Rattus norvegicus: one gene and its partners. The protein of the gene in region 3 interacts with the protein of the main gene of each other region in a pairwise test. Links are inferred from orthologs where the notes say so. Each region holds a gene or a part of one and is shown on either strand. Other genes may lie near its edges.

The links.
Region 1: the proteins of Agtrap (region 3) and Bpifa2 interact in binary tests that used the Homo sapiens proteins (3 or more experiments, as listed by UniProt). The two-hybrid records come from large-scale screens. The link is inferred for Rattus norvegicus from reciprocal best matches to the Homo sapiens genes AGTRAP and BPIFA2.
Region 2: the proteins of Agtrap (region 3) and Myg1 interact in binary tests that used the Homo sapiens proteins (3 or more experiments, as listed by UniProt). The two-hybrid records come from large-scale screens. The link is inferred for Rattus norvegicus from reciprocal best matches to the Homo sapiens genes AGTRAP and MYG1.
Region 4: the proteins of Agtrap (region 3) and Mief2 interact in binary tests that used the Homo sapiens proteins (3 or more experiments, as listed by UniProt). The two-hybrid records come from large-scale screens. The link is inferred for Rattus norvegicus from reciprocal best matches to the Homo sapiens genes AGTRAP and MIEF2.
Region 5: the proteins of Agtrap (region 3) and Ndrg4 interact in binary tests that used the Homo sapiens proteins (3 or more experiments, as listed by UniProt). The two-hybrid records come from large-scale screens. The link is inferred for Rattus norvegicus from reciprocal best matches to the Homo sapiens genes AGTRAP and NDRG4.
Region 6: the proteins of Agtrap (region 3) and Pitpnc1 interact in binary tests that used the Homo sapiens proteins (3 or more experiments, as listed by UniProt). The two-hybrid records come from large-scale screens. The link is inferred for Rattus norvegicus from reciprocal best matches to the Homo sapiens genes AGTRAP and PITPNC1.
Region 7: the proteins of Agtrap (region 3) and Coq8a interact in binary tests that used the Homo sapiens proteins (3 or more experiments, as listed by UniProt). The two-hybrid records come from large-scale screens. The link is inferred for Rattus norvegicus from reciprocal best matches to the Homo sapiens genes AGTRAP and COQ8A.

Annotation. Positions count from the first base shown.
Region 1 is NC_086021.1:162,959,256-162,962,013, reverse strand, and holds the end of Bpifa2 (BPI fold-containing family A member 2 precursor), read right to left. Parts: intron 2,264-2,758; coding exon 2,200-2,263; intron 1,759-2,199; coding exon 1,721-1,758; 3' UTR 1,680-1,720; intron 685-1,679; 3' UTR 518-684; downstream 1-517. UniProt on the Homo sapiens protein: Has strong antibacterial activity against P.aeruginosa.
Region 2 is NC_086025.1:135,333,985-135,338,179, reverse strand, and holds the start of Myg1 (MYG1 exonuclease precursor), read right to left. Parts: upstream 2,817-4,195; 5' UTR 2,816-2,816; coding exon 2,600-2,815; intron 2,463-2,599; coding exon 2,350-2,462; intron 1,249-2,349; exon of another isoform or gene 1,143-1,248; coding exon of another isoform or gene 1,141-1,142; intron 8-1,140; coding exon 1-7. Other genes in the region: Pfdn5 (prefoldin subunit 5), read right to left, coding at 3,216-3,292. UniProt on the Homo sapiens protein: 3'-5' RNA exonuclease which cleaves in situ on specific transcripts in both nucleus and mitochondrion. Involved in regulating spatially segregated organellar RNA processing, acts as a coordinator of nucleo-mitochondrial crosstalk.
Region 3 is NC_086023.1:163,799,374-163,803,345, forward strand, and holds the start of Agtrap (type-1 angiotensin II receptor-associated protein), read right to left. Parts: upstream 2,802-3,972; 5' UTR 2,761-2,801; coding exon 2,734-2,760; intron 2,632-2,733; exon of another isoform or gene 2,497-2,631; intron 1-2,496. UniProt on the Homo sapiens protein: Appears to be a negative regulator of type-1 angiotensin II receptor-mediated signaling by regulating receptor internalization as well as mechanism of receptor desensitization such as phosphorylation.
Region 4 is NC_086028.1:45,907,225-45,911,533, reverse strand, and holds the start of Mief2 (mitochondrial dynamics protein MID49), read right to left. Parts: upstream 2,826-4,309; 5' UTR 2,705-2,825; intron 972-2,704; 5' UTR 966-971; coding exon 819-965; intron 593-818; coding exon 430-592; intron 1-429. Other genes in the region: Flii (protein flightless-1 homolog), read left to right, coding at 4,065-4,127. UniProt on the Homo sapiens protein: Mitochondrial outer membrane protein involved in the regulation of mitochondrial organization.
Region 5 is NC_086037.1:9,390,151-9,394,443, forward strand, and holds the start of Ndrg4 (protein NDRG4 isoform 1 precursor), read right to left. Parts: upstream 2,823-4,293; 5' UTR 2,715-2,822; coding exon 2,678-2,714; intron 1-2,677. UniProt on the Homo sapiens protein: Contributes to the maintenance of intracerebral BDNF levels within the normal range, which is necessary for the preservation of spatial learning and the resistance to neuronal cell death caused by ischemic stress.
Region 6 is NC_086028.1:92,925,527-92,929,620, reverse strand, and holds the start of Pitpnc1 (cytoplasmic phosphatidylinositol transfer protein 1), read left to right. Parts: upstream 1-1,276; 5' UTR 1,277-2,058; coding exon 2,059-2,106; intron 2,107-4,094.
Region 7 is NC_086031.1:94,460,561-94,464,833, forward strand, and holds the start of Coq8a (atypical kinase COQ8A, mitochondrial), read right to left. Parts: upstream 2,819-4,273; 5' UTR 2,792-2,818; intron 1-2,791. UniProt on the Homo sapiens protein: Atypical kinase involved in the biosynthesis of coenzyme Q, also named ubiquinone, an essential lipid-soluble electron transporter for aerobic cellular respiration.

The DNA of each region.
Region 1 (2,758 bases), on a different chromosome or scaffold from region 3:
GATGAATCCCTTTAACTCTGTGAGCCTAAGTGTCCACTTCTGGCATTAGGATGTGGTGAAGTATTGAGAAGACCTCTTTAGTTGCAGCCTCTACGACAAGGATGAATTCGGGAACCACTGGGTATCACCAGGATCACTGATGTCTGCAAGGAAACTAATCTAGAGTTGATATCCAGAAACTAAGCGGCAATGGAAGGGCAAAGAGAAGGCAGGCAAGAAAGACCACAGCGACCTAACCATGTCTATTTTCCTAGGTCTCATTGGTCAGGATGGCACCAATATACACTTGTGCATGTATGGCTGACTGGATCATGTCCTACCACATTCACACAGTAGCTGTGTGCCCACTCTCTCTCACTGTTTCTGCAACTCTGTACATTTCTTTCTTAGCTGTGAGGTATCCCCTAAGTTCCTTCCAGCTATGGCTTCAGCCACTCATTTGAAATCTCCCGAGACACACACACCACACCCTACCCACAACTATTGCAAAGGACTGAGGCAAGCCACACGCCAGGGTGCAGTTAGGATTTTAATGATGGTGGTGACAGGTGTGGAGACTACTCAGGAAAGAAGGGAATCTGGGAAAGTCCTTCCGTTGGTATCAGGTAGACTTTGTGTGGATGATAGTAGAACTTCCCAGAAAGAAATGCCACCGGAAGTAAAATAAAGCCAGTGGAGACTAACCTTCAATGAAAACAGAGAAAACATCAGAACACTGGCTGTCGCAGCAGCAGAGAGAGTAGTCTTTACTGGGCATTAATTAGATCCTCTCTGTGTCCACCCAGTCCTACTGTGCCCAGCATGACTTGGGGCATCTAGACGGGAGATGCAGATTTGCAGTCCTGTTCTTGCCCCTTGTCCTGTCCACTTCCCATCCCTTCTTCTGGAACAAAGACACATGGGAAAAGATTACGTGGAAGGCCATGTCCAAGCTAGGGTGAGGATTCAACCCATGGTCAGTGGCGTATGCACAAAGTTAGATCTCAGTCAAAAAAAACTCCCAATAATTTCATTTAGTAACACAGATCCTGGCTCATTCTGGGTTCATGTTGCTGGCTCAGCATTCAGGGTGTACTCAAACTCAGAGTTCAGCCTGGATTCGATCAGGCCTCAATTTCTTTAGTCTTGTGACAGAAATAAAATTAGGCTTACCCTGCCCTCCTGACAGGCTGCTGTGCACAGAGCACAGAGCCTACATGTGATTGATGATAACCACCCCCATAGGCTCATATAATTGAGTTATATTTTATAATAACTGTTACAAAAGCTACTTGGGAAGGATTGGGAGGCATTGACTTATTGGAGGAGGTGTCACTAGGGGTGAGCTCTAAGATTACAAAAGGCAATGCCATTGCTAGTCAGCTCACTCTGCCTGGTGATTGTCTCAGTACTTAAGTCTCAGCTACTACTCCAGCACCATGCCTGCCTGATCCCATGATTCTCACCATGATAGTCTTGGGCCTTAACCCTCTGGAATTGTGTCTTCAATGCTTTTACACTTTCCCTTGGTCATGTTGTTTTCTTTTTTTTTTTTTTTAAGTTTTTTTTTCCCGGAGCTGGGGACCGAACCCAGGGCCTTGTGCTTGCTAGGCAAGCGTTATACCACTGAACTAAACCCCCAACCCCGGTCATGTTGTTTTCTAATGACAATAGAAAAATAATGAAGACACTGCCCATACCAGCAGGGGTTGTCATGGCTTCCTCCTTCTGTTCTTCCTCTTCAGAGAGGGACTGCTAGCTGTCCTGTTAGTACATTAGCTGAAGGAAACAAGTCAAGATTAGCCTCAGTCCTTGTCATGGCAAATTGAACAGAAGCCCACCGAACTTGTTTCCTCCCTCCAGCTCATCACTCTGTCACCTGTGTGACCTCAATCAAGTATATCACTATTCATTTGTGCCCCACTGGACAAACTCTTGTGAGGACCCAATAAGGTAATGGGAGACACAGAAAGACTGTGTAAAGAGACATCCATAGAGGGACCACCTCCAGGACCTGACATCATTGGTGCCTGATTCCTGTTGTCCCAGAAACTCTGTCAAGCATGAGAAGATAGGCTCAAATGAAGTTCCCAGTGAGAAGAGGAGGAGCCAATGGCCTGCCTTAGTCAGGAAACAAAGACTCTGTATCCCTGGATGGGGTACTCCTACAACTCCTGCATTGGCCCATAGAAAGCACTCCATCCCCAGGCTGTGACTTACAGAGGAGACCCTGAATAGCACTTCCACTCATTGTGCTGAGGAGGTACTGGAGCACTGGGCATAGCTGAGAGACAAAAAGAAGGTAAGCGTATTAAAAAGAGGAAGAGAAAAGAAAACAGACGAGACTTTGCTGGGAACATGCTGCCCACCTACCCCAAGCAGAGGGACTCATTTCCAGGATCCAAGGACAGTTAACTTTGCAATCCCGAACCATGGAATGGCAGCAATCTGAATCAGAACTGTCCCAGGTTACTAACAACCCATCATCCCAGGATGTCAGGAGTCCAGCATCTGCCTATCTGGGATCCAGAACCCTAACACCCCAGACTCCTAACAACCTTGAACTCTTGAACCCTGGAAGTTTAAAGTCCTCAGAAGGCTGAAGCCTCTGGAGAGGCCTGAATATGGATGTCTAAATAAGGGTGTGTTGGTTGCAAGAAAACCTTAGCTTACAGGTAGCTGTTCTGCAGAGACACTGTAAACAGCTCAAGGCAGGACCTGTGGTTTCTGCCTCTGCAGCCCAGCTACTGAGGAGGAGGAGGGGGCAGCAGACATCTCA
Region 2 (4,195 bases), on a different chromosome or scaffold from region 3:
AAAAGTCCTAAGGAGCACAGGGAGGGGCTGAGCTGAAAAAGTTGCTCCACGAGTCTAATCTGTGTGTGCAAGTTTATACATTGAGACCTGGGTATCAGTGGGATGGGGGATAAACCACTTGAGAAGATGTTAGGGTTTCCTCTGTGCCAACATAGGCCTCGCTGAAAGCTTCTACTCCGGCATTCCCGTGACAACGCTGGGACTCATCCTATTGTACGCTGGGTTTATGTTTTGAACGTTATAGAGAAAAGTCAAAGATCCTGTCCTTCCAAGTCCATCCGTGAGAGGGGACAAAGGACAGAGCAACTACAGCTTACTGTCACCTGCGAGAGGGGACAAGTGACAGAGCAACTGTAGCTTACTGTCACCATCTGTGCTTCCCAAGGGCCTGGCCTCCAGACTTCAAGTTCTTTATGTAAAGTGGGGCAGTGTTTGCCTGGAAACTTCATACATCCATACACATGCACACACACACAACACACACACACACACACACACACAGAGACATGTACAGACACACACGCACATGCACACACACAGAGACACACAGACACAGACACAGACACAGACACACACACAGACACACACACACACACACACACACACACACACACACACGCTTTTGGAGACAGGGTTTCTCTGTGTAGTCCTGGTTATCCCAGAACTCTACCTGCTTTGGCTCTCAAGAACTGCGATTAAAGGTGCAGAACATCATACCTGGCTATAATTTTTCTTCCTTGAGGGGAATGGGATTTATGTGATCCAGGCTAGGTTCAAACTTGCTAGCACATGATGACCTGTAACTTATGACTCTCCTGCCTCTACTTGGGAAGTGCTGGTCACAGCTGTACACCATCACCTGGCTCCTCCTCCTGCATCTTCTATATCATCTCTAAGTTACTTATGATGCGTCTTAGGATGCAGATGTTAGGGAAGTAGCTGTTATACTTTAGAGGACAAGACTATTCACAAGCTGGGTGTGGTGGCACAAGCCTTTAATCCCTGCACTTGGGAGGCAGAGGCAGGCAGATCTCTGTGAGTTTGGGGTCAGCCTGGTCTACAAAGTGAGTTCCAGGACAGTCAGGATACATACAGAAACTGTCTTGACAAGCCAAAAAGCAAAGCAAAGCGGCTACTCACATTCCATACCGGTGATGTTTACTTTAAAAGGGGAAAGCCAGGCATGGTAGCGCACCTTTCATTCCAGCACTGGGGAAGTAGAGGCAGCCATGTTTCTGGGAGCCTGGACTACAGAGGGAGTTCCAAGACAGTCAGTGCTATAGTGAAATCATGTCTCAAAAAACAAACCAAACAAACAACAGAAGGGAACAAATATTCCTAAATTGGAGGGTGGAGTTGTGAGATTTTGGACGAGGGAAAGAAGCACACACAAGGAAAGCCTATCTTTTAGGAACGGTGGGGACCCGCACTGAAGCATGAGTTCGAGTTGGAGGTGCAGTAGTGCTGTGATCATATCACACGTAACAGCCCATTTTCCTGTCTGCTGCTGTGATAAAACACCTGACAGAAACAACTGGGGAAAAGGTTTATTGTAGCTCACAGCATCAGACTGCAGTCCATCACAGAAGGGAAGGTGGCATAAACTTAGAATAGCAAGTCACATCTCTCCCAGACAAGAGGAGAGAGAAAACAAGGGCACACGAACTTCACCATCTTCCCCTCACACAGCCCAGGGATTGGTGCCTCCCACAGTGGGCCGGGTCTTACAAGGCAAGCAAACACCCCACAAACACGGCCAACCCCATCTGGATAGTCCCTCAATGAACCAATTCCCTGGTGATTCTAGAATCTAAATTGTGTCAAGTTGATAATGTTAATTAAAATTAACCATCACAGGGCTGGAGATGGCTAAAAGAGCGGGATGCTCTTGCAGAGGATGCAGGTTCAAGTCCCTGCATCCAGGCGTTGTCTCAGGACTTCTTTGATGCCAACTCCAGGGGATCCTGACGCCTTTTTTCCGACCCCCGTGGAAACCAATGCACTTGGTGCACAGACGTGAATGCAGACAAGACACCTCTACTCTTAAGCAAAAGGCCACCTCAGTAGATTGTCCTTGAACTAGAAGAATCCAGCAGCCTTCGGCAAGGACAGGAGAATGGAAAACTGCTGGTGTGAAAAGAAGTGAGTGCAGGAGGGAACTGATGGAAGTTCCAGGCTAAGGAGCAAGCCCAAAGCAAGCTTTAATTCCCAGAGCAATAAATTGCGTGGCTTCAATGATGAGGCAGTGTGACCTTGGCTGTCATGGACTTGGGGGTGGGTGGGTGGCCGGACTGGAGCATTAAAGTTAAATCAAGAAAGTCAGAACAGGCAGCGAGTTTGTGAACTCACCTCTGGTGATGATCATAACGGTGTCTCTGAGGGTTGTACTCACCACCCACATCCACCACGATGTCACACAAAGCCAGTTTTTCAGGATCCCGAGTCCGCACAATCTCTGCATTCTGCAGACACAGAAGGGGCTGTCAGATAGGAGTCAGAGAACTAAGGTTGGGTTTCCAGGGCGCGTGTCTCAGAGGACGGTGGTGCTTAGGCTTCTGCAAGCATCAGAGAGGACCTGGTTAGGTTCATGGGTCCATACCCTGTACTCGGGCAGTAGGCGGAGCAATGCGCAAGCCAGAGCCTCATCGCAGTGGAAGGTGCCGTTGTGCGTCCCGATTCGGGGCGGTGCCATGAGGTTGTTGCGAGGTCTTTTAGGGGGCAGATCGGGCTCCGAGACAAGCATGCAGTGCTGGACTTGGAGAACTGACCGGAGCGGCAACAGTGTTAAGACTCCTCGCAGGAACCCTCTACCCATAAGGTTCCCTCCACAGGAAGATCGACCCGGAAGAGGAAGTCTCTGGTACAGCTTCACTTCCGCCTGCCATCTGTCCCCATGGCAACAAGCAAAACCGCACGAGCAACTTAGTGCAAGCCTTCTTACAGCTCCTCAAACCGCTGGTTGGAACTTACAAAAGGCAGTGTGGCTAGTCCAGTTTGGGGGCTCCTGACAAAAGTAAACCCCCCGGGCACTCCCAGTTCACCACCGGTCCCGCGTTTAATGTAAGAAAAGACCACCATTTGCACAGCTGGCACATTTATTAACATTAAACACAAGACCCTCTCTTCCCAGACACTTTCCCAGGAGGCCACTGCCAAAAAAAGTCCCAGGCCCCTTGAAAAAGGGTCCTTCTCTGCTTCGTTTCCGCGACACATTCTCATGCCTTGGCAGTGGCCTGCGTTGCCCCCAGGGCTGTGAGCTGCTGAATCTTCTGGCTCATCATTTCCACGACGGCTACAAGAAAAGAAGGAGCAGTCACATCCTAGCGAGAGTATGTTGAGGACCCAAGGTAGAAGAACACTGACAGTTAAACCACTAACCACTGGAATGTAAAAATAAACACAATGTTAGCCATAACCATAAGACTGTCATGTGAGGGCTGACAACACACAACACTGAAGGCCATATTCAATCTCCAACACCACTTAAAAAATGAATCAGGAGGCTGAGTCAGGTGGATTTCCTTGCCTTCCAGATCTGTTCTGCCTATAGAATCTGGTCTATTCTCTATTCGATACTCTAGTTTATAGTATAGAATGAGGTTGTCTCAAAATAAAAATAAGCCCCCCTCCACCACTGCTTTAAAATCAAGACCTTTAAAAAAAAAAAAAAAAAAGCACTCCCAGAACACCTTCCTACACCCTTTTCCAGATCGATTTCTGAACTGGACCTACACTTTCCTTTTTAACTTCCTGGTAATTACTAGTGTTTATTTAACAGATCCCTATGCACTTATAGTCATTTCATCCCGACTCATTAACAGACACCAAAGAGAAGCAGAAACGTCTTTTGTATTGTTGCTGCTTTTGAGACAGGGTCTCTACATAGTCCTGGCTGGCCTCAAACTCGCATGTGCCTGCCTCTGCCTCCCAAATGCTGGGTTGACAGGTGTCACCACCACGTCCCACAGACACGTGAAGATGTCTTCCAGCTTCATGTTATGCTCCATATTTTCTTCATGTTTGTATGGGGTGTGGACGCGTGTGGAGACCAGAGGAGAGCATGGCATCTCACTGTGCTTTGTCATTCTCTGCCTCTCCCTTGGGACAGGGTCTCCATTGAACTTACCAATTCAACCAGGGCGGCCAGCCAGTGCACTCCTAGATCTGTCTGTCTCTGTCCCACCAGCACTGGAGT
Region 3 (3,972 bases):
GGAAGTGAAATTTAACTTGGAAAAGGGTGGGTCAGCAGAAGTCTAAGGGCCCTGAGTATTAATTAACCCTTTGTTCCGGGCTATGGACTATGGCTCGGTGGTAGAAAACTTGCCTGGGATGTGGTACCCTACCAGGAGAAAACAAAGCAAGTCTTTGTTTACCAGTCCCAAAGGAGGAGGGGTTGGGGATGTCCCTGACCTCAACTTAATACATCCCAGTGTGTCCTGTGAAAACATTTGGTGACCTATTAGACAAGATAGGATGCCCCCAGGACAGCTAAGTTTAAGGGCTACTCAGGTAGCCCAGGAGAGAGGCAGGTCCTGCCCTGGTCATCTGACAGACTTTGGAGGCAAACCATGGAATGGATCCTAGCTCCCCACACGAACCTGGGCAAGTCTGACATAAACTGCCACCTGCTCTTCAGCACAGCAGGGACTCCTGGGCTCTGGAGGACAGTGTGGAGGACACTCTACACAGCAGGCCTCATTGCTGCCTCCTCCCTGCCCCCACTGCTCCTCCCAGGACTTCACAAGGCTCCTCCAACCTGAGCTGCTACAAGCTTCTGCTTAAGAGAAGTATGGGTACAGGGCTGGGGATTTAGCTCAGTGGTAGAGCGCTTACCTAGGAAGCGCAAGGCCCTGGGTTCGGTCCCCAGGTCCCCAGCTCCGAAAAAAAGAACCAAAAAAAAAAGAGAAGCATGGGTAGGTGAGGCCTAGTCAGGGACCCACTTCTTTCACAGAGCCCAGGCCAAGTGCTGAGCAGAGCAGGGCATCCTTTTTAAAAGGCTGAGGGTGGACTGAGGCGGGCAGCCATGGTGTCCCAGCTGCCTTCCATGGGGTTCTTGCAGATCTTGCAGGCAACACAACAGAGCTCTCGGGCTCATTCTGAATTTCAGCTTGTGAGTAATTCAGCGTGTCCCCAATACCGAGACATACAGTAAAACGCTGTCATCAGCGCAAAGCCCAAAAGTGACTGAAAGTCCTTCCTACCTGCTACTTCACAACCCCCCCGGTGCTGACCTGCTTCTGACTGGCCCCTGCCAAGATCCACAGAGCTTGTCAATCAAGTCCTAGGGGCCTGGTCTTTGCATTGCCTGCTAGCTCACATTTGTGGTGGATACACTGTGCCTATCAGGTTCTAAATGTTGATGTAGGCCGACGAAAACCAAAAGTTAGCCCTAAGCAACTGATAACCACGAAATGCAAAGCACGGGAGCTAGGTCTTCGGGGGTTCGAATCCCGATTGCACCTGCTATTACTTGGATGATCTAAGCTGAAGTTTGCACTCCGATGAAAGAGCATAGCTCCTCTGGCTAGGCGTGGTGCTGCGTGCCTTTAATCCCAGCACTCTCGGGAGGCAAAATCGAGAGGATCTCTTGTCAATTCAAAGACAGCCTGATGTATATAGCGAGTTCTAGGCCAGCCAGAGCTAGATAGCAAGACCCCCCCCCAAACAAAAACAACAGAATGCAGTTTCAGTGTTCTCAGTGTAGGACTGAGATGAATAAAAGCAACACAGGCTGGGGATATGGCTTGGTTGGTAGTGCTTCCTTATCCAGCAAGAAGCCCTGGGTTTTATTGCCAGTACCGTGCAATCCTGGCACTGGAGAGGTGGAGGCAGGAGGACCAGAAGTTTGAGGCCATCCTCAGCTGCATAATAAGTTTGAGGCTAGCCAGTACCACACGAGACCCTAACTCAAATGAATAAGACATATCAGCCCATAAACACCAGCTCTTTTCCCACCTGCTTCTGTTTTAGTATTATTTGTTAGTGTGTGGTACTGGGATGGAACCCCAGTCCTGGTGTGGGCTACTCAAATGTTCTACCATAGAGACTCATGCTGTCCTCATACTTATTGGAGGGTAGGCTCAAGCAGAATAAGGCAGAGCCTGACCCCTAAGGCTGCCTCCCAGACCTGCAGTAGCCCATAAATCTGTCCCTAGAAAACGGATCCACTCAAACCCATTCCTTTACTCCAATCTCCCTCCAGCTGCTTAGCCAGCAGCTTAGGAATGGGAAACCGGCCAGAGCAAGTCACAGCCCAGCCCGCGTGCAATCAATCACTCAGCTGCTCCAATGCCACCTATATCTTCTGTCCCTTTCGTCTCAGACACCAAAGGGTGCTTAGTGGTTTAACACCTGAGAGAAGGTTTAGGGTTTCAAGAAACTTGCGCCAAGAAACCAAGATGGCCGGTTTACTTCCAGGTTCACACCGCTCTTGCCAAAGCTAAGTGGCCAGCACCTCTGTTGCAAACGAGGAGGGCTGAGAGAGAAAAAGAACTTAGGAAATGAAGACATCGTAGGCAGCCCTGCTACCCGGAGCCCAGCACAGCCTCTGGGGTTTTTTGCTTTTAGGAAACCTCTACAGTTCCTGCTTCTTAATTATGAAATAAAGACGCTGCATGCGGAAATTAGGGAGAAGCAATTGTTTGGGAACACCGAGTTTCTCCTAACTTCAGCCAGCACCCAGAGGGGTCCACCCGGACTGCACTGACCTCTCAGGAGGAGAGGTGTCCCTGTCCTGCTGTGGGGGACACCAGGAGCGCTGGCCCGGACGGTCCGGGACCCGTGCCAGCCTGGGTCCATCCGGGAGGGGCGGCCCTGTCCGTCTCTGTCCCCAGGTGTCCCTCTCGGTGTCCGCCGCCTCCTCCCCGGGGCTCTGCGCCTTCCCCTCGGCTCCGACTCCGTTCCCCAGGTTCCTGGACCCCCGCCCGACCCGGCCGCGCGGCCACCTTCAAGTTCACGGCAGGCAGCTCCATCCCGACCCGGCGGAGGGCACCTGAGCGACGGCCACGGGGACTCCTGGGCTCCGAACTCGGGAACAAACTTCCTGGCCCCGCCCGTCGCGTTGCGCCAGTTCCAACGGCGTGAGGCCAATCCGCGCGGCCACGTGACTGCAGTCGGTTGCTAGGAGACGGCGTCTAGCAGCTTGCCCTTGCTGCAAGGCTCAGGCTCCTGCTACTGCCTAGGCCTCTACCAGCTGCTGTGCTTCAAGCAGAAGGACGGGATTTCTACAGACTAGGGCTCAACCGGCTGCCTACTTGGGATCGGGGCGAGGTGGTGGGACCTCCCGCAGCCATAAGAGCCTGGGGGCAACCAGGCAGAAACTGCTGGTGTGATAACAGTTGGTGTCTGCCCAGGACACCCTCTCTCCTCTCTTCCTTCCCTTGCACAAGAATTAGTACAGTTCCTACCTCATCATCTTCGTGAGGGTCGGTGAATTAATTTATGTCCATAAAGGAAAAAAGCGAGGGCTGGAGAGGTGATTCCGTGATTAAGAGCACTTGTTACTCTTTCAGAAGACCTGGGTTCAGTCCCCAGCACCCACCCGGTGTACATGTACATGTGATCCGACCACACTCTTTTGTCCTCCGCAGGCGCCAGACACACGGCCTCACGCACATACAGGCGGGTGAGACATTTATATACATAAGATAAATAAATACAAAAGAAATTGAAGATTAGTTCTTACTGTGTTAAAGTTTTGCTTCAAGCTTATTGGATTTCGAGAGAATTTCATAAAATTCATTTAAAAAAAGAAGGAAAGAAAGAAAGGTAAAAAGGAGGTACAGCAAAAAAAAAAAAAAATTAAAAAAAAAAAGAGGTACATCGAGCCAAGCCTGTAAATAGGAGTCTTTGGGAAGTCGAGGCAAGGCAATACCACGAGATCAAAGCCTGCTTGGCTTTATAAAATGAGACCATGTTTATTTCTTCTTTATCTGTTTAGGTGGATGCATGTCCTACTATGAGTGTGGAGGTGAGAGTGTGGATGGTTCTCTCCTTCCATCCAGGGTCCTGAAGCCTGGGAAAGGAAAGGAAGACAGGACCCCAAGTCAAGGAAAAGGCTTTCCAGCTGACAACTGAACAGCCTCCATCATGAGGAAAGCAGAGGCCGGACAACTGTGGAGCCCAGCAGTTCAAAGCCAGCCTGGGCAACCGAGCGAGACCTTGTCCAAAAGAGAGGGGGTCAG
Region 4 (4,309 bases), on a different chromosome or scaffold from region 3:
ACAGCTACTGAGTAAACCCTGACATCAAGCAGGTCATGGGACAGTGAGGGCATGATGACAAAGTCATTGGCCCAGAGTCCCAACACTGTGGCTTCTACAACTGCAACAACTTCACGGAGAATGGGTCAGAGAGATCCTGCCCCTCTCCAGGCCTCAGTTTCCCCATCTTTGGCTCCCTACCATCACATGGTGCAACCTTGCTATAGTAGAGAGCAGACAGGCAAAAACAAGGATCCCAGGGCTGAGGTTTGCGTTTGCTTAGCACATGTGAGGCACTGGGTTCTATCCAGAAAAACACAAACCTACAGTACCTATTAAACATCTGAGTTGCCCACAACCCAAAGAGGAACAGAAATATGTGAAGACTGCAGCTTCCGCATGGGCGTGCACAGGGGACTCCCCACACTAGAAGGAGGCAGTGCAGCTCACCTGGGGCAGAGGGGGAGGGGGACACAGGAGATTTGGGCTGGCTGAAGGCAGCAGGAGAGGGCTGGGGCTTGGGGTGTGAAGTGGCTCTCAGCAGGCTCAGTTCCTTCCAGCTGTCCCCCTTGGTGTCATCCTCATCACGAGGGTTAGTTGCCCTGTCGATGAGCTACAGGCAAAGTGACACAGATCAGAGCATGGGGGGGGGGGGGGTGCGGGGTTGCACGGCAAAGCTGGGGGCGGCGGGGAGGGGGAGTAAAGCAAACCAGGAAGCTAGGGTGAAAAAGTAGGGGCTCTGAGCTCCAGTCCGACTTCCAAAAGTCCCACCATCCCCCAGCTCCCCCGTCCTGGCCTTCTCCTGTGGAGGTTTCAGGCAGGCCTCACCATGGCCTTACCCGCTTTACGGCCAGGGTGGCAATGCCCAGCACTGCAGCCCCGCCCACACCTAGCACCAAACGAGCGTTAGCCAAGAGGAAGTCCACCACACTGCCCAGGCCCTCGCCACCATGCTGCTTCCTCTGCTTCTGTGAGAACTCTGCCATGGTCACCTGCAAGAGAAGCAATTCGTAGGGCCAGCGTGCATAGGTGCTTAGCAATAACCAAGAGGGCGGTTTCTAAGGACCCGAGAGAAAGGGGCTGCGCAAAGAGTTTCTTGGAGGGAAGCAGGGGACCTACCAGCCCCTCCCTGGAACCTGCAAGCTTCCAAGCCTTGGAAAAGGGCTGATATAGGAAGGCTCCAGGCCTTTGTCCTGACTTCACCCCGAGATGCTGGGAACCTGGGCTCGTCATCACCACCCTTACTCTACAAAGACATGAGTTGCCAGGCCACAAACTGAGTGGTAAGGTCTGGGACTCACAGCACAGCCTCTAGACTCTTCCACCCCCCAGCCTGAGTATTATCCCTATGCCTCCTGACCAGGTTCTCATACTCCTCATCAGGACCCACCCAGAACAGCCACACTGTGTGACAACCTGTCAGGAGGAACCCAAAGCCCCAGAAAGACTTGCAATATGGGTTTCCAGGAAGCCTGCCTGGGTGAGGCCTGTCAGACCTTTGATAGACCCTTAGCAAATTCAGGGATCTAGTTACTGGCCCCCCAGATCTTGACAGGAAAACTACTTGGGGTAGGGCAACCCCATCAGAGACCAGGCTGAGGGCCCCATAGTCCAGTGGTGAGTAAGGTAACCCTAAATAAACACTGAATCAGGACAGGCTGCCCAGGGCCCATGGACTTGAACAGAGTTGGCGAGGGTAAGAATGTGAGAGAAAGACCTGGAGCCAAGGACTTTCTTTTGTTTATCTATATGACTGCACCAGTGAGTTAGATTGGGAAGTGTGCGACTGGCCGGGTCAGGAACTCGAGAAAGACACAGGAATCTCTAGGCCTGGTCCACTAAGCCAGAAAGGTCATTGCCTGATGGGGCACCAAGGACTTCAGCCCTTCCTTCAGGGCCATGGCTGCCCTGGGACCTAGTTGCCAAGTGACAAGATGCCTAGAGTAGTTGAAGCCTGAAGCACTGTGTGACTCAGCTGAGACACCTGTCCACGGCTCCCGAACTAAAAATAAGACCCTGTCCTGTCCTAGGGCCTGGCAAGATCAAAGGCCAGCCAGGGGACCTACTACAAGCTCGAAACCTATCGCTGCCCTCAGACCAGTGAGCCACTCTGCAAACAGGGGACTTAGCTTACATTCCACCGCCTGCGTAACGTGGGACTCAGTCCTACACCTGGAGGGGTCTTGTATTCAAACTCTGGTAAGAAGGGAATAAAAGAGGTGGCTAAATAAAGCCAACTCAGGCCCTTGTGGTGGCGCAGGCCTTTCATTTTAGCATTCAGGAGGCAGAGGTGGTCAGGTCTCCTTGAGTTCAAGGCAAGCCTGGTCTACACACTGAGTTCGAGGACAGCCAGAGCTACATAATAGATCCGCTTCTCAAAATAAAACAAAATAACAAAATAACCTGCCTCTTCACAGCCTGGATGTCACCTGTTCTTCCATTTCTGCCAAAGCTGACTGCCCTGGATCAGGGTTGAACAGAAACGTGTAACCACATACAAAAGGCTCTTAGACTCTATTCAAGAACGAAGTCACTGAGACCCTGGAAATCCTGTGCAATACCCAAGTTGGGAAGAGGCACCCCTGGGATTCGAACTCGGATATTTAGTTCCCAAGTCCTCCCTCCCACCGCAGTGTTGACCACAGGCCACGCCCCCACCTGCACTGGGATACAAGCCACGCCCAATACTAGGAGACCCCGGCCGCCCCCTGCGCTGTAGCTGTACCTGCGTCCGAGCGTCAGCGCATGGACCCAAGGACGCGGCGAGCAGGACCCTGGAGGCCCAGGAGGACCCGCTTAGGAATGGAGCGTCCAGACCCCGGGAACCGAACGCCGAGGCCCGGGGCGGCAAATGACCCGAAAGGAACGCTGGATAAGCAGGCCTTCGCTCCAATCGGAGCGCACAACTCCTGCGCACACGTGCTCAAAACTGAGCAGCTCAGCCAATGAACACCAGGCACGCCCTGGACCTGGGGGCGGAAACCACAGACACTCCGGATTTAAAGGCGCAAGGTTACCTTGTAAACCCAAGGTGCGGGGGAAGTAGTGAGTGAATGACAATCGTCCAGGGCCTGCTCTAGTTTTACTTTGGGGGTGTTTTGTTGAAGAAGGGCCTCACACTAAAGCCATGACTGACATCGAATTCTCTGCAGTCGTGCCTTAGCCTCACATCTGACCTTGTGTGTACTTGTAGTGGGAGCCTCAGTGTGGAGAAAGCTGTCTGAGCTCACGGTCCCTTGATGGACCAGGCAGACAAAACTGCACCTAGCCCAAAGGCCCACATTCTGTCTTTCAAGTTTGCCCCTGCTAGAGTGACTGGTGGTCTCATTTCCTTTTGGCCCGCTTGGCACACACCGGGAAAAGAGCTCTGTTACCTGTTGTGCGAACTCTACCAGTCTCTTCCCTTCTGAAACACTGGGTGCCAGTCCCTGTACATCCATAGAACAGCTGTGTCTGTTTATTGGAAACCTACGATGTGCAGGCCAGGGCAAGATGGCCACTAACAGCTTAGCTGACGAGATATGCTGGTCTTCTAGAGCATGAAACAAGCCTATAAAGAGCACTGGCTAGAATCCTGAGGCCAAGGGAGAATTTTGAGGGTTTGTGCATCCTGCTCTCTGACACTCCTGAGTACTCACTTGGTTCTGACAATTTTGGGAAGCATGTTACACACGAGCAAAGTTGAGTCCAAAGATGAAGAGCTAGGCCCAAAGACCCGGAAGTCTCACCACCACCACGGGTCCCTCACGCAGAGACTGCCTGTGTCCCTGACGTTGGTACCGAAATCTCTCCGGGATCACGGCCAGCTCAGGGTCTACAGCAGCCCAAGCAACAATGCCTGGACCCGACCCTCCACGTTGCGACTGGAGACTGGAAGTGGTGATCGTCTCCAGCAGGACCCCCGCAGGCCTCTCCAGTCCCACAACTCGAGGCCTGAAGCTCTGGGAGTCGCCTAGCAGCACTTCCCGCAGAGGCCGCGGCCGGGAGGAGGCGCGCGCGGGTTAAAGGGGCGGGGCCGGCGCTGACCCAGCCCGCGGCTCCCGGCTACCCTGCGTCTTCCTAGCCCATAGGAGAGCTACGCCACCATGGAGGCCACCGGGGTGCTGCCGTTCGTGCGCGGCGTGGACCTCAGCGGCAACGACTTCAAGGTTAGATGGGGGGAAGGGAAGGGCGACCCCTAGTTCGTCTCTCCCGGCCGCTCCCTCTACGCTTCCGGCACCGGCGGGCGGGGCGGGCGGGCGGGCCTCGGTGAGTCTTCCCGGGCCTGCCCCGCCCGCGGCGGAAGACGTGGGCCGGGGCTCCGGGATCTGGGGCCGCGCGGGATTTGAGC
Region 5 (4,293 bases), on a different chromosome or scaffold from region 3:
AGAGAGGACCCCTGAAGCTCACATCCTCTGGGGTCAAAACTGCCTGCTGCCTCTCTTCATTTGTGGCAAGAACCCCCCCACCCCACGCCTCAGGGAGCCACCTGGAACCTCTGGTTGTCCTCTGTTCTCTTTAGGACACTGGGTCCAGGCATTCTCTGGTCCCCACAGGAGGGGCACCTGCTGTGGGCATCAGGACATCAGGGTCCAACCTCGTATGATGGAAACTGAGGCCAAACCAAGCTCCCCAGAAATAGATCTCAAAGAGGTCTACTGTACAAAGAACCCAGTAAGAGAGCTAGGATACCCTGAAGGGGACAGGAACCCTCAGGGCACTGAGGGATGAACTCAGAGGCCAAGGGAGGTCACCACCAGATGCGGCAACATTTGACAAGCATGCTCCCACGAAGCGTGGAATGGTTTAGTCTGGCCCACAGTTGAGCAGGTAGGACACACGTCACCCACTCTCAGCCATGCAAGTGTGGGAGAGTGGCCAACCCCGTTGTCAAATAGGTATGATGGTAAGATGGAAACTATAAAAACTACTGGAAACAACCTCGAAGGGGTGGATGAGGGCAAGGATCCAGAGGCCTCTGCAAGATCGTCCAGGGGACACAGTCAAGGAGCAGGATGCATGAGCTTAGACCAAGCCAAGAGGTGTGAGCACTTGTACAATACCACAGTAATCACCCCGCTACCTGCACAGCACTCCACGGAGATGAGTAAAAAAAAAAACCTCACTGCTGCCTGTCAGCGGGGGTAACGCGGAGTGTCTGCGGCAGATCCCAAGTCCTTACTAGCCAATGAGCCAAGGCAGGTAGAATCCTTCATTACCAGGGAAAGCAGCCAGAGGGGAGATAGGCCTCTGAGGTTCTAATCAAATGAGTCACTTGCTCTGTCTCAAAAGGCCCCATAACATCTCTTAGGCGTCTGTTTAACCTCCATCTTATGAAGGAGACGGACGTTAAACGACCTGTTTGAAATCACAACCAGCTGTGGCTGGAGTGTGACTCCACATCTATGAGGCAGGAAGAGGACATAAGGAGTTGGGGGTGGTGAGGAGGAGGGGTCGTGAAGGAGACAAGAAGGGGTGTGAACTCATCACACAGCCCAGGCTGGCCCTAAATTCACCATGCTTATGCCACAGCTGAGCCTGGTACACTGGGAGCTTCTGACAGTGACAGAGTCCTGAGGAAGTCCTCGGAAGCCTGCCACGGAGCATCGAGGGCCTGAGGGCACACTACACACGGACCTCAATTTCCAGACCCTCACCGGCTATCTCCATTCCCTCTGAGGGCCAGATGGGGACGAGAGGACCTGGTTCTGCCCTCTAGGCGTTAGGGTCTGAGTGTTGGGAGTGAACCTGCTGCAAGCTCTGTTTCAGGTGCCGGTCATGAGGAAAAGCGGAAGGGCAGGTGTCAACAACACCCAGCCAGGGCTTCCAAGGCCCCAGGAATCTCCGCCTGCCCTTCTCCATGAGCCCAGCGTGACCCACTGTGGTTTAGCATACAGCCCAAACCCTCATCTGGCCTACTTTCCTCCTCTAACATCCCAGCACACGCACGCACACACACTCACACACATACATGCTAGTACACACAACCCAAACCTTCACCTGGCCTACTTCCCGCCTATAACTCCACCCACCGCCATTCCCAACACACACACACACACACACACACACACACACACACACACACACACACACCCTACAGGGTCATGCCACTCACACTCAGGGCACATGCAGAACACCCTTGGCTCCTTCAGCTTGAAGTGTGACCTCCTCCCTTTCCATGAACAGAAAGTTCTACTCTCAGTGTCCGTCTTCAAACGCAGCTCTGATCTCTGCGTCCCTTCAGATCCCTAACCCAGATCCCATTTCCTGGGTACACACACAGCGGGGCGGCCCCTTCCTCGCCTTACAGCAGCAGGACCCCAAGTGCCAAGAGGCATCTCTTGGAATATGTTCATCAACTTTACATGGTGTGCACCTAACAGAGGCTCGGTCAGCTTGGTCCAGTGGGATCTGGACCGGGGCTGTCCCCTCCAGCCCAGTGGGAACGGAAGCCTCCACTGATGCTGGACTTCATGTGTCAGGAGCAGCTTACCCTTCTGACACCCGGCCTCTGTCCTTGCTCCCTTTCCCATCTGCTCTACGCATCCAGCCTGGCCAAGGCATTCCAGGCACTGGCCCCAGGATGCCCTCAGCGGGACATCTAATTTCTTCTCTAGAGTGGCCCCAAGGTGGATGGCCCCAGCCATTACGGTTCAGTCTAGCTTCCCATCTTCCCAGGCCACTTGACTCTACTTCCAGCAATAAACTTTCTCCAGAGAGAAAGGTGGCTCTGACCATGACAGAAAACCCTTACACAGGTTCTCCCCACTTCCCTAGGAGGCCCAGGACTGCTTTCTCAGGGGACGTGCGATACTTGAAGACTGAGATTCCTGGGCTCCCCTTAGGGTTGCTAATCGGAGCTCCACTAGCGGGATACCGCAGGGGGCCTCCCTGGCGCTCCACCCTCCCAGACGCCGGCGCTCGCGGCTCAGTAGAGCCGGGCGTGCCTCAGGTTTCGCTCATCTGGGAACGCGCACCCGAGAGCGCCCCTTCCAACCCGGGCCACCGCGCCCGGAGCCCGCTCCAAATTGGAGAGCGGCAGTGGCAAGCGGCAAGCCACGGTACCTGTCAGCAGTTGGAGCCTGTGTCCCAGCACCTTCATCTCGGCGTCGGAGGAGCGCGCTGGGCCGCCCGGGGCGAGGCGCGCAGTAGCCGCAGAGAGGAGCGGCGGGAGAGCGGGAGCGGCGGGAGCAGCAGCCGGTAGTGCGGTGCGCTCGCCGCCCCCTCCAGCAGGGTTTAAAAAAATCCACCAATGGCACAGCCGCGCACCCCAAAAGGCACCCGCCGCCACCTGGCCGTGGTGAGCGCCGATGGGGGGGGGAGAGTGTGACACCACGCGGGAGGGGCCCCTCGTGAACAAAGACGCCTGCCGCCCCCAGCCCTCGCGGGCGGACGGGCGACAGCCGTGGTCTCCGGGGGTCCGAGCCAAGAAGGCGAGGGGTGGCTGGGAGACAGGGCGTCGCCCTCGCGTGGGCGGAAGGTGGCCGGGGGGCGGGGAAGAGAAGGTGCGGGACTGCTGTGTGGCTGCGCCTAGAGGAGATCCCAAGGGTGAGGGAGCGGCGACTCACCCAGGCTGCCGAGCTACACGGTCGCGGAGGCGTGAGCCTGGCCTGGACGCCGCCGCCCACGAGCCGTGCAGGTTCCCCGCACGAGCGAGCCCGGGAGCTGGGGGCGGGGCGGGGCGCCGCGGGGGGCGTGCCAACGTGGGTGGGTGGGCGTGGGCCGCGCTGCGCGTCCCGCTTGTTGGCTGGACGCTAGCTGTTGCGGGCTGTGGGAGTGGGCGGGAGGCTCTGCTGGAAGACCCACAGGCCTGGCCCAGACGCAATCTGCAGCACCCGGCCCGGCTCCCAGAGGTTCCCATCTCTTTGCACTGCGTTCCTTGCGGAGCGCCAGAGACGCAGACTTCGGGCTTTGTTTGGGCTCCCACGGGGAAACTAGGCCCACTCCCGCCACCTGTGACCTCTCCTCCCTTGCAGTCCGACCTCACCCACCGGTCTGGGGAGACGCCGTGGGAGGTTGGGGAGAACCAGGAGTTCAGTGGTCCAGGAGCCAACGCTCCTCTGCTTGCAAAGCCTGAAGGTTTCTGAGGAACTCAGGCCACTTCCTGGCTAAAGATGTTCTTTCTGGGCACCCCTGACGGTTTCACTCACACTGTGACTTCAATCTCCTCTCTGCTGTTCACTCTCCGTTATCAGGAGCCGGAGAAGGAACAGGACTTTACTTTCCCTGAACTCCCTCTACTGGGGTCTAGTCCTGGTTCCTCGGAAGGAGGGTCAAAGGCCCTGAAGCATCATAAACCCTGAAACTGGGACGAGATAAAGATTCCTGGAGACTCTGTTCAGGCTCTAAAGATGACTATGGGCCCCTTCCTTACCTTTTCTCTGGGTTCCTGTCTTTATGACCCACAGAGAAAGTACTAGACCAGGAAATCTCTGAGGCCCTGGCTGTGAGGGAGGAGAGTGTCAAGAGAAGCCAGCCCACCTCTTCTGACTTCTGAAACCTCTCGGTAGGAGGTGCTTTGCCATTAGGCCTGGGCTCCAGGTGGCCAGCACCTGAAGTAAATTAACCCCACGGCCAGCTGAGGAAGCAGCTGAGATTTTGAGGCTGCAGGTGGTGCACACCTGCTTATGGTTACTTACTGCTTGTGGTTGAAGGGATTCTAACATGGTTCTGCCAGGCCT
Region 6 (4,094 bases), on a different chromosome or scaffold from region 3:
TTTATCTAGAAAATATTTTTTCTTTGTTTCTTTCTTTCTTAACCAAAATATAAGCTAGAATTAGGGTGTCCTTTTCCTAGCAGGGTGGATCATGTTCCCTGAGTTCTAAACTTGGGTCATCTAGACAACTTTAGCCAGAGCCCATTCCCATTATGTTGCTTAGTGACCTACTGAGCATAATTTTAACATCTGTATTATTGAGGCCTGCATAGTCTGCCTTGCCCTATGCAAGCTCTATGGGTGGATACAGGTTTCCGGAGTTCACAAGCACACACACACACACACACACACACACGCACGCACATCTATACGTGAGAGCCAGTGATGCTTACAGATTATCCTCCTATAGGCACTGGATGCATATTTTTTTTCCATTTTTAGGAAAACAAGCTAAAAAAAAAAAGTCAGACAAATGAAAACCAGACTTCAGCAGTTACATGCTGCTTCCTGAGTAACCGAAGAATGTGCTTCTTGTGGTTAAAATGAGAGATCTGTTTAATATGGATGAAATACCAACACCCCAGGCATTTTAATTGACATTTCACTGTGACTTTTTGAACTTAGGAGTGCTGACACGAAAACCTATTCTTTCTGCTCTGGGAAGCTTGCAGTAGGATTGTAGAGCCAGGGAGAAAGAGGTAACAGGCAATCTCAATCTCAATCTCTCTCTCTCTCTCTCTCTCTCTCTCTCTCTCTGTGTGTGTGTGTGTGTGTGTGTGTGTGTGTGTGTGTGATGTGAGCGCGCGAGCATTTATACTTTGTTTTTACCAACACTGCTGGAGGATTCCGTCTTAAAAACATATTAGAAAAACATACTGTAAAACCATCACCTCTTTTGCCCTCGGCCTTGCCTTACCCTATCAGAGAGAAAAATGTTCGCTGTGAGCATTTGTAAAGACGCTCCCACCCCCAAAGTCAAGGGGCACTAGTGCACTTTGGAAACTGAGTTTCCAGAGCGACTAACTCGAGAGCCCCATGGCACCCAGAGTACATTCGAAAACAGATCCCAACGTTGTCAGAGTCCAGGATAGCCCCTCTTTGCGATTCTCTTCGTCGCTAGCCGCTCTAGGTTCTGGGACAGCCCAGGCTGTCTGGCAGCAGACGGGGAGAGACATGCTGTTTTGTTTAAATCCTCCACATTCTTTGCCATTTCCCCATTGGCCGGATGGGGCTACCCTCCCCGCCGCGGCCGCTGCTGATGTCAGCCTCGTCGCTCTCGCTCCTCCCGCACCCACCTCCCTGCCCCAGGCACACTGCAGCTCGGCGCGGACTCTCCAGTCGCGGCGAGCTGGCTGCAAACTCACGGGCACGCACGGAGCTCGCAGAGCCGAGGGACTCGGGGGAGGGGACGCGCGCAAGGCGCTGGCAGCCAACCGCCGAGGTTGAAGACACCCGGGGCCCAGAGCAGGGCAGAGCCCTGGCGGCCACGGTTTCCCTTCTCTCTCTCAGCTGAGCTCCGGAGAGACTCGGGGACTGGCCCTAAAAAAGAGCAGGAAATCTTGTTTACCGCCCGGGGAGAGGAGCCCATCGAGCCTTTGTTTGGAAAGTCAGCATCGCCGGCTCCCGCGGCAATGTGTTCCTGGTGACATTAACCCAGGGTAGACGGGTAGGAGAAAAGGGAGCTCGCCAGGTTCAGCTCTGCTTTCGGAGGAGGATCGAGAGGGCGACTTTTGTGCATTTGTTTGAATTTGTGGAAATCCCTTTTCCCCTTCCTTTTGCCTCTCTTGCCCGCCGCCGGGCATGTCCTGATCTGGTAGCCGCGCCTACCAGCCCGGGGCTGCTGATCGGAGCTGTCTCCCGCGGGTCTCCCTCCCTCAGTGCCTGACTTTGCAATACCGGGAGAGCTGATCTCTGCGAGGAAGGAGGCGGGGGAGTCACAGACACCGGGACCCGAAGCTTGACATGCTCTGGGGCGGACCGGAGGCAGTTAGGAGCTGAGCGCACCACCCCGGCTGCTTCGCTCTCCGGTTCCCAGCGTTTTTGCCCTCCACTGGGCTCCAGCCTTGCTCATCAGTTGGGACGCCCCCTTCTTTCCCGGGGTCCGCGGCCGGCAGGAACATGCTGCTGAAGGAGTACCGAATCTGCATGCCGCTCACCGTGGACGAGGTAGGCACCGCGCCCGGCCTCGCCCGCTTCGGGTCCCCAGCCGCCACCACTCGGCCGGCGGGTCCACTGCGTGCGGCGGGGAAACCCTGGCGCCCAAACCTGGAGGCTGTAAGGGGAGGAGGCTGGGGATTCGCTGTTCCCACTCGTCACCCCGGCAGAGGAAAGGAGGCGTGGGGGTGGGGCGGGGGAGTCCAGGTGAGCTCTTCGGGGACATCTAGAATCAGATTACTGGGGACCACAATGCGTCACAGGGAGCTGTTGCGCCCCCTCCCTCCAATTAAGCAAATGCACAGAGTACAAGACTCCAAGCATGCTCTGCAGCCGGAGTATCGGGGTACCCCGCCGTGGTGATAGCCACTGTCCCCATGTACCCTTTACGAGGTGGGTTTGCAGGGACATATCCCGCGCGGTCGGGATCTGCCGAGAGTCCCTCCTGGGGGCACGTCGGAGGCCTAGAGAGGGTCCGTTTAGAACCAGATTTCTCCTTGTCGCCTCCAGTCTAGGCGCTGGCTCCTGCCCAGTCCGAGCATCCAGGCTCCCTCCGGGACCTGGCTTGTCCTTTGCTGACCGCCTGGCTCGGAAACTTTCTGCGTGTCTCGTTCCTTCCGCGGCGGGGAGCGTGGTCTTAGGAAGAGCCCCAGTGGTGGGGCCCGCGGCGCGGCCACCGGAGGGCGCTCCAGGCCGTCGGGCCCAGCCCTCCCGGCTCTGAGTATCGGGGCTGCAGGGTAGGGGGCTCCCTGCTCAAGGGCTCGGCCTCCACGCGCAGGTCAGCTTGCATTCTTCCGATTCTTCCTCCGCCCCCCCGACCTCCCCCCCTGCCGCCCCAACAGCGAGCTCCGCCATTGAGGAAACGGTGACTCAGTGAGGGTCACTCCGGCCCGGGCTTCGTTTTCGTTCCCCTTTCTCCCCACCTCTTTGGATATTTCATAAGTGCTTTGCGTCTGTCTAGGGCCACATAGCCAGAATATGAAGCCAAACAAGGCAGTTTGAAAAAAGAATCCTGTGGTTTGGTGTGGCAACAAATGAAATCAGCGATCCACGACGTATTTGTATTTAAAACCGGTGCATTTAATCTATCAGACATGTGATCTATTCACTACTTTGTGAAAGGGGCCTTGTGCTTTTGTGTTACTCAGTCAAAGACTATGGCTGCCCCCCACCCCCCACCCTTACCGGGATGGTGGTAGTAATCTTCCTTCGGCATCTGGCGCCTGTGTTAAGGTGAGAGAGACCCTAGGACCCTCCCAGGCAAGATCAAAGTAGCCTAAAGTTTACAAAACACTTGACACTCGACACTGGCTGCCAAAGACTGAGAGGGATAGTTTAGCCACGCCCCACTCCCCACCCCCAGCCTTATCAACAAGCTTTAGAGTTTGCTAGCATTTCTGGGGTGGCAGCATTTTGAGCTGGGTTTTAAGCGGTAGTTAGGTGCCTCTTAACCTTATCAATGAAGAAGCAGCGTACGGCTTTGTGGAGGATGGAGAAAGGCAAATGAATGGGAATGGACGTACACACCCCTCCCCTCCCTGGTGCTGGTGCTTTGTGGACATGCTGTCTTCCCACCTCTGGAACTGCTGAGCAGGACCAGGGCGACCGGACCTGGGGGTGTCCGCATGCTTCCAATCCGTTTGGAAGCTTTGACTGTGGTAATAGATGGGACTGTGCAATCCCTAGGGCGCTCGCCGACTCAGTCAAATAATGAGTCAGGTTCTATGTAGTCCTGGCTGTCCTAGAACTCACTGTCTAGACCGGAGACTGGACTGGCTTCGAACTCAACTCGGAGACCTGTCTGTTGGGATTAAGTGTATGTCACCTGGCTCCGCCTTTCTTAACTGCTAGAGCATTCCCCCGACGTTTAAGTATTCGGTGTAGTAATTACATTTGAGAGGTTTAGGGGGTGGCTTTCCCTCCCCCCTTCTCTCTCTCTCTCTCTCTTTCAAGAATTTTTTTTAACTTTACAAGTACCCTGTCGCTGTCCTCAGACACAC
Region 7 (4,273 bases), on a different chromosome or scaffold from region 3:
GCCTCATGCAAGGCACTTCTTGACTACGGGACAATGGTCAAATACTGGAGAGCCACACTGGCTGGTCAGTCTGCCCTACACCAGTTACCATGAACCCCAGCCAGATGTAGCCCTGGTAGCACATATTATAATTCCATACCACTCTGGAGACTGAAGCAGATGGATCATGAGTTTGAGACCAGTTTGAACTACACAGCAAATTCCTATCTCAAAAAAACCTACATATTAAAAATATATGTGTTAAAAAGTATTTGGCTCAGGTAGTGGCCCAGCAATAAGGTTAAGACCTCTATTAGTCGCTTGGTTTGAACTCTGGCTCTCCTGCCAACCTGCAAGTTAAATTATATAAGTTTAGCTCTGTCCCTCAGTTTTCTCACCTGCACTTGAGAATAGACTAGATCCCTCGCATGAAAGTATTTAAGGTATTTATGGCATGCACTGGGTATCTAGAACCATTTATTGTCGTGATTATGAACGCTGTGACCATTCGGATACACTGGTATAGACCATAAATAACTAAAAATACCTTTAAAAAAAAAAAAAAGCTCTCCCTGTAAATTCCAGGATCCCTTCTGAGTCAGGGAGACTGGCAGTGCTAGGTTGGTCCTCACCGGGGTGCTTTATTTAGCAATGTAGCATGGGGCACCACCCCAGAGAGGTGTTGGGTATGCTGCCTGCCAGCTTAGAACACCTTGGAAACATGCTGGACATAAACACCCACAGAACTCCTCACGTCACTGATGAGCAGAAGGAAATGCTCTCTTACCCACTAGTACACACATGCAGACATGGGCACGGCACCAGCCCCCAGCTCAAAAGCAGTTTTTGAGAGTCAGGCTGCATGATTTCATGAGTCTGCAGACACAAGCATGTGTTTCTAGATTCACCCCATTCCTGCCTACCAGAGGGAAGGGGGAGAGCGGGGAAAGCAGGCAGCTGTTGCCCAGGAAGCTAGTCTGCTCTGGCTATTCACAGGACATTCTAGATGAGAGAAGGACATTCTCAACAGACCTGGCCACAGCAATGCCCAGCCTGCCCTTTGATGCCCGACGGTGGCAGTGGCTACCAACACCTCAGGGAGTGAGACCACTCAGTCACTTTCCACTTTCTCAGAGAACTGAGTTGTCTGTGAGCATGTCAAATGGCAACCACTGGCAAACTATCAGCAATGTGTTCTGCCTCCCTTTTCCATGCCAAGACTGGAAACAAACACACACCTGGCACTGTATGTGAACAGTCTCCAGGACATATTGCCCAGCCCAGAGAACAGCAGGTCTTCTAGTTCCTGGACACTTAAACTACAGGCTGACAGACAGACAGACAGACAGCAAAGATGGGTTTCTGGCTTCAGCTTAGATACCAACTATGTATGACCTCCAGGACACAGGTTCTGTTCCTGAGGCCAGTGTATCCCTCTTCCTCACATGTAAATCAAGACAGTGTATCTATACTTGGAGTAAAGGATGATAGGAGGCAGGGTTGGGTATTTGGCTCAGTGGCAGAGCGCTTGCCTAGGAAGCACAAGGCCCTGGGTTCGGTCCCCAGCTCCGAAAAAAGAAGAACCAAAAAAAAAAAAAAAAAAAAAAAAGGATGATACGAGGCCACACAGAGCTCTTTCTGAAATGATCTTTTCAGATTTAACCAGGTCTGGAGGGAATAATTCTTAAACGAATTAGGAAGAACCCATGTAGACATTCTACGAAAACAGCAGGGGAGGTAGGCTCTGGGCTGACTTCACAAAGGTACAAGCAGAGAGTCTACATAACTCAGGAAAAGCCCAGTCAGTGCAGTGCAGTGTACAGGTAGAAAATGGGGAGACATCTCTCTGCTGTAAACACACACACACGCACACGCATGCACGCATGCACGCGCGCGCACACACACACACACACACACACACACACACACACACACACAGAGAGACCCCCACAGGATTCCCTGTTCCCCCTATATTTAGCTCCTATACCTCAGGACCTACCCCCTCTGTAACAGCCCCTTTGCTCCCTCTACTCTAGAAATAGGTGACCAGATATGCACACCTTCAAATTCTTGTTCCCTCGTCTCAGACCCTACTCTCTTCCAGTCTTTCTTGTGCATGTCCCCTTTTACATAAGCCCTTCCTCTCATGCCCAGCCTCCCTACACCAAACACAGGGAAGTTCCTGCACACTCTGATCTCCTAGGAAGAGCGCGCGCGCGCGTGCACACACACACACACACACGCACGCGCACACACACACCACTGCCCCTGTGACATTGGAAGTGCAAGCCAGCGGGACTCCTTGACCTACCTCCACTTCCTGTCAGCCTCACTCATTCCCACAACTCTCCCCTCAACCTCCTTCAGCAACCTCTCCTCACCTGTTCCATACTCTGCAGCTGAGCCAGCTCAAGCAGGTCCTAGCCCTCCTGCCTCCCCACTGTGTACTGTCTTCTGAGCTGCTTCCTTCTGTCCATGAGCTATTCAAGGCCTCCCCATCCTCAGGCCAGGTAGACTCTCTGATTCGAGGTACCCACATCTGTACCACACACCCATCCCAGTACAAGGCACACACGGAACTGTGCTAGTGGTTAAGATACAGTTTTTTCAACTGTTTGGGAAATGGGTGAATTTAGTACATGTAAATTATATCATAGTAAAAAAAGGCTAGAATAAAATAGTTCCAATGGCACTCAGCCCCATTGTTGTCACCTTCCCCCAAACTAGTTCCTTCTCTTATGACCTCTATTTTCAGTACTGACATCATTATACAACTTCTTCACCATCTAGAACACTGACCCATATATCCTACCTGTATATATTCAGTCCACACGCTGAGTCCTATGGTCTCTCTGATTCCACTACCTGTGACACGGGTCACCCTATACTTATAGGCTGCCCCTCCCTCCCCTTCATGCCCATCCCATCACACAAGCAACTAGAGAAGAAACAGGACCTTTGAGCTCACCCCCCCCCTTCCCCACTGGCTCTCCTCAGTTCTTGACTGTTAACAAGAATGTTAAAACCATTTCCAGTTGCCAAACCAAGGCAACTCTTTTGATATTCCTGTCTAATTTTGCACACAGCTCTAGTTTCAACTGACAAAGATAATGACTCGTGTCCGTGACTCTTACTGGAAAATTATCCTGCCAACTTGTGAGCTTCCCAATATTAAACCTTCCTTAAGAAGGAAGTGATTTCCCTTCCATATCTTTTTCTGTGGCTAACAGAGGGCACTCCGAAAACCCCTACTTGGAATGTTCCCCCTCCCCCAGCTACGGAATCCTGACACATTCCCACAGAAATACAAATTCACTGTAGAGGCTGGGGATATTTTTCTTTTCCGATGTCTTATCTTTCATGTCCTCTGGATAGCCATCATTTTTAGGACTGAATAATAAATTCTGGGTTTCATGGAAAGCAAAACGTAGACCCAAAGGCAAAGCCTCTTGCTCTGCACAAAAGAAGACATGGTTTCTGGTACTAACTATAAAAATGTAAATAAATTCTACAACCTGTATATGTGCACACACTACATCAAAACACCTGCATGTGTGTGCATGTACATGTGTGGTGTGCAGCCAGACACTCCCCACAGACACAGGCATGCTCTCCTTCCACATTACAACACACACGTCTAAGCAAAATATGTGGCTAAGAAAAGTGTGCCCTCAGGGGGCTGGGGATTTAGCTCAGTGGTAGAGCACTTACCTAGGAAGCGCAAGGCCCTGGGTTCGGTCCCCAGCTCCGAAAAAAAAAGAACCAAAAAAAAAAAAAAAAAAAAAAAGAGTTTGGAGTTGGGAAGATCTGTCTTAGGTGGTTCATTAGCCCAAAGAGAATGCAGACTGCCTCACTTTTCCTACGTGCCACCTGGCCCCAAAATAATCACAATCCAGCTGTTTTCATTATTCACAAAGCTAAATATAGCATCCAAAGCTACCCTCGGAGTCGTACAGGTGCTGCTCTTGTAAGACAACAAGCCCCTCTACCCTCTTCTCAGAAGTGCCTTCCTCACTCCGAATATTTCCCAACCGCCTCCCTGACGGCATGGCCACCCGCCATAGCACAACTAGATGTCTGGCATGATCATTAGTCCAAATCCTCCGGCAAGAAGGTTGGCCTGACACACCCCAGCTCCAGAATCCTGTTCCAGACATCAAGTTCAAGTTAGCCTAAATCAATTTTCTACAGAGCTGCAAGCCCAACCCAGATTGGATGTCTGCACACAGCCTCTGCCCCTTCAGGAAGCCCAGCCAATGGAGGGTCCCAGCACCCAATCCCGCCCCTACAGCAT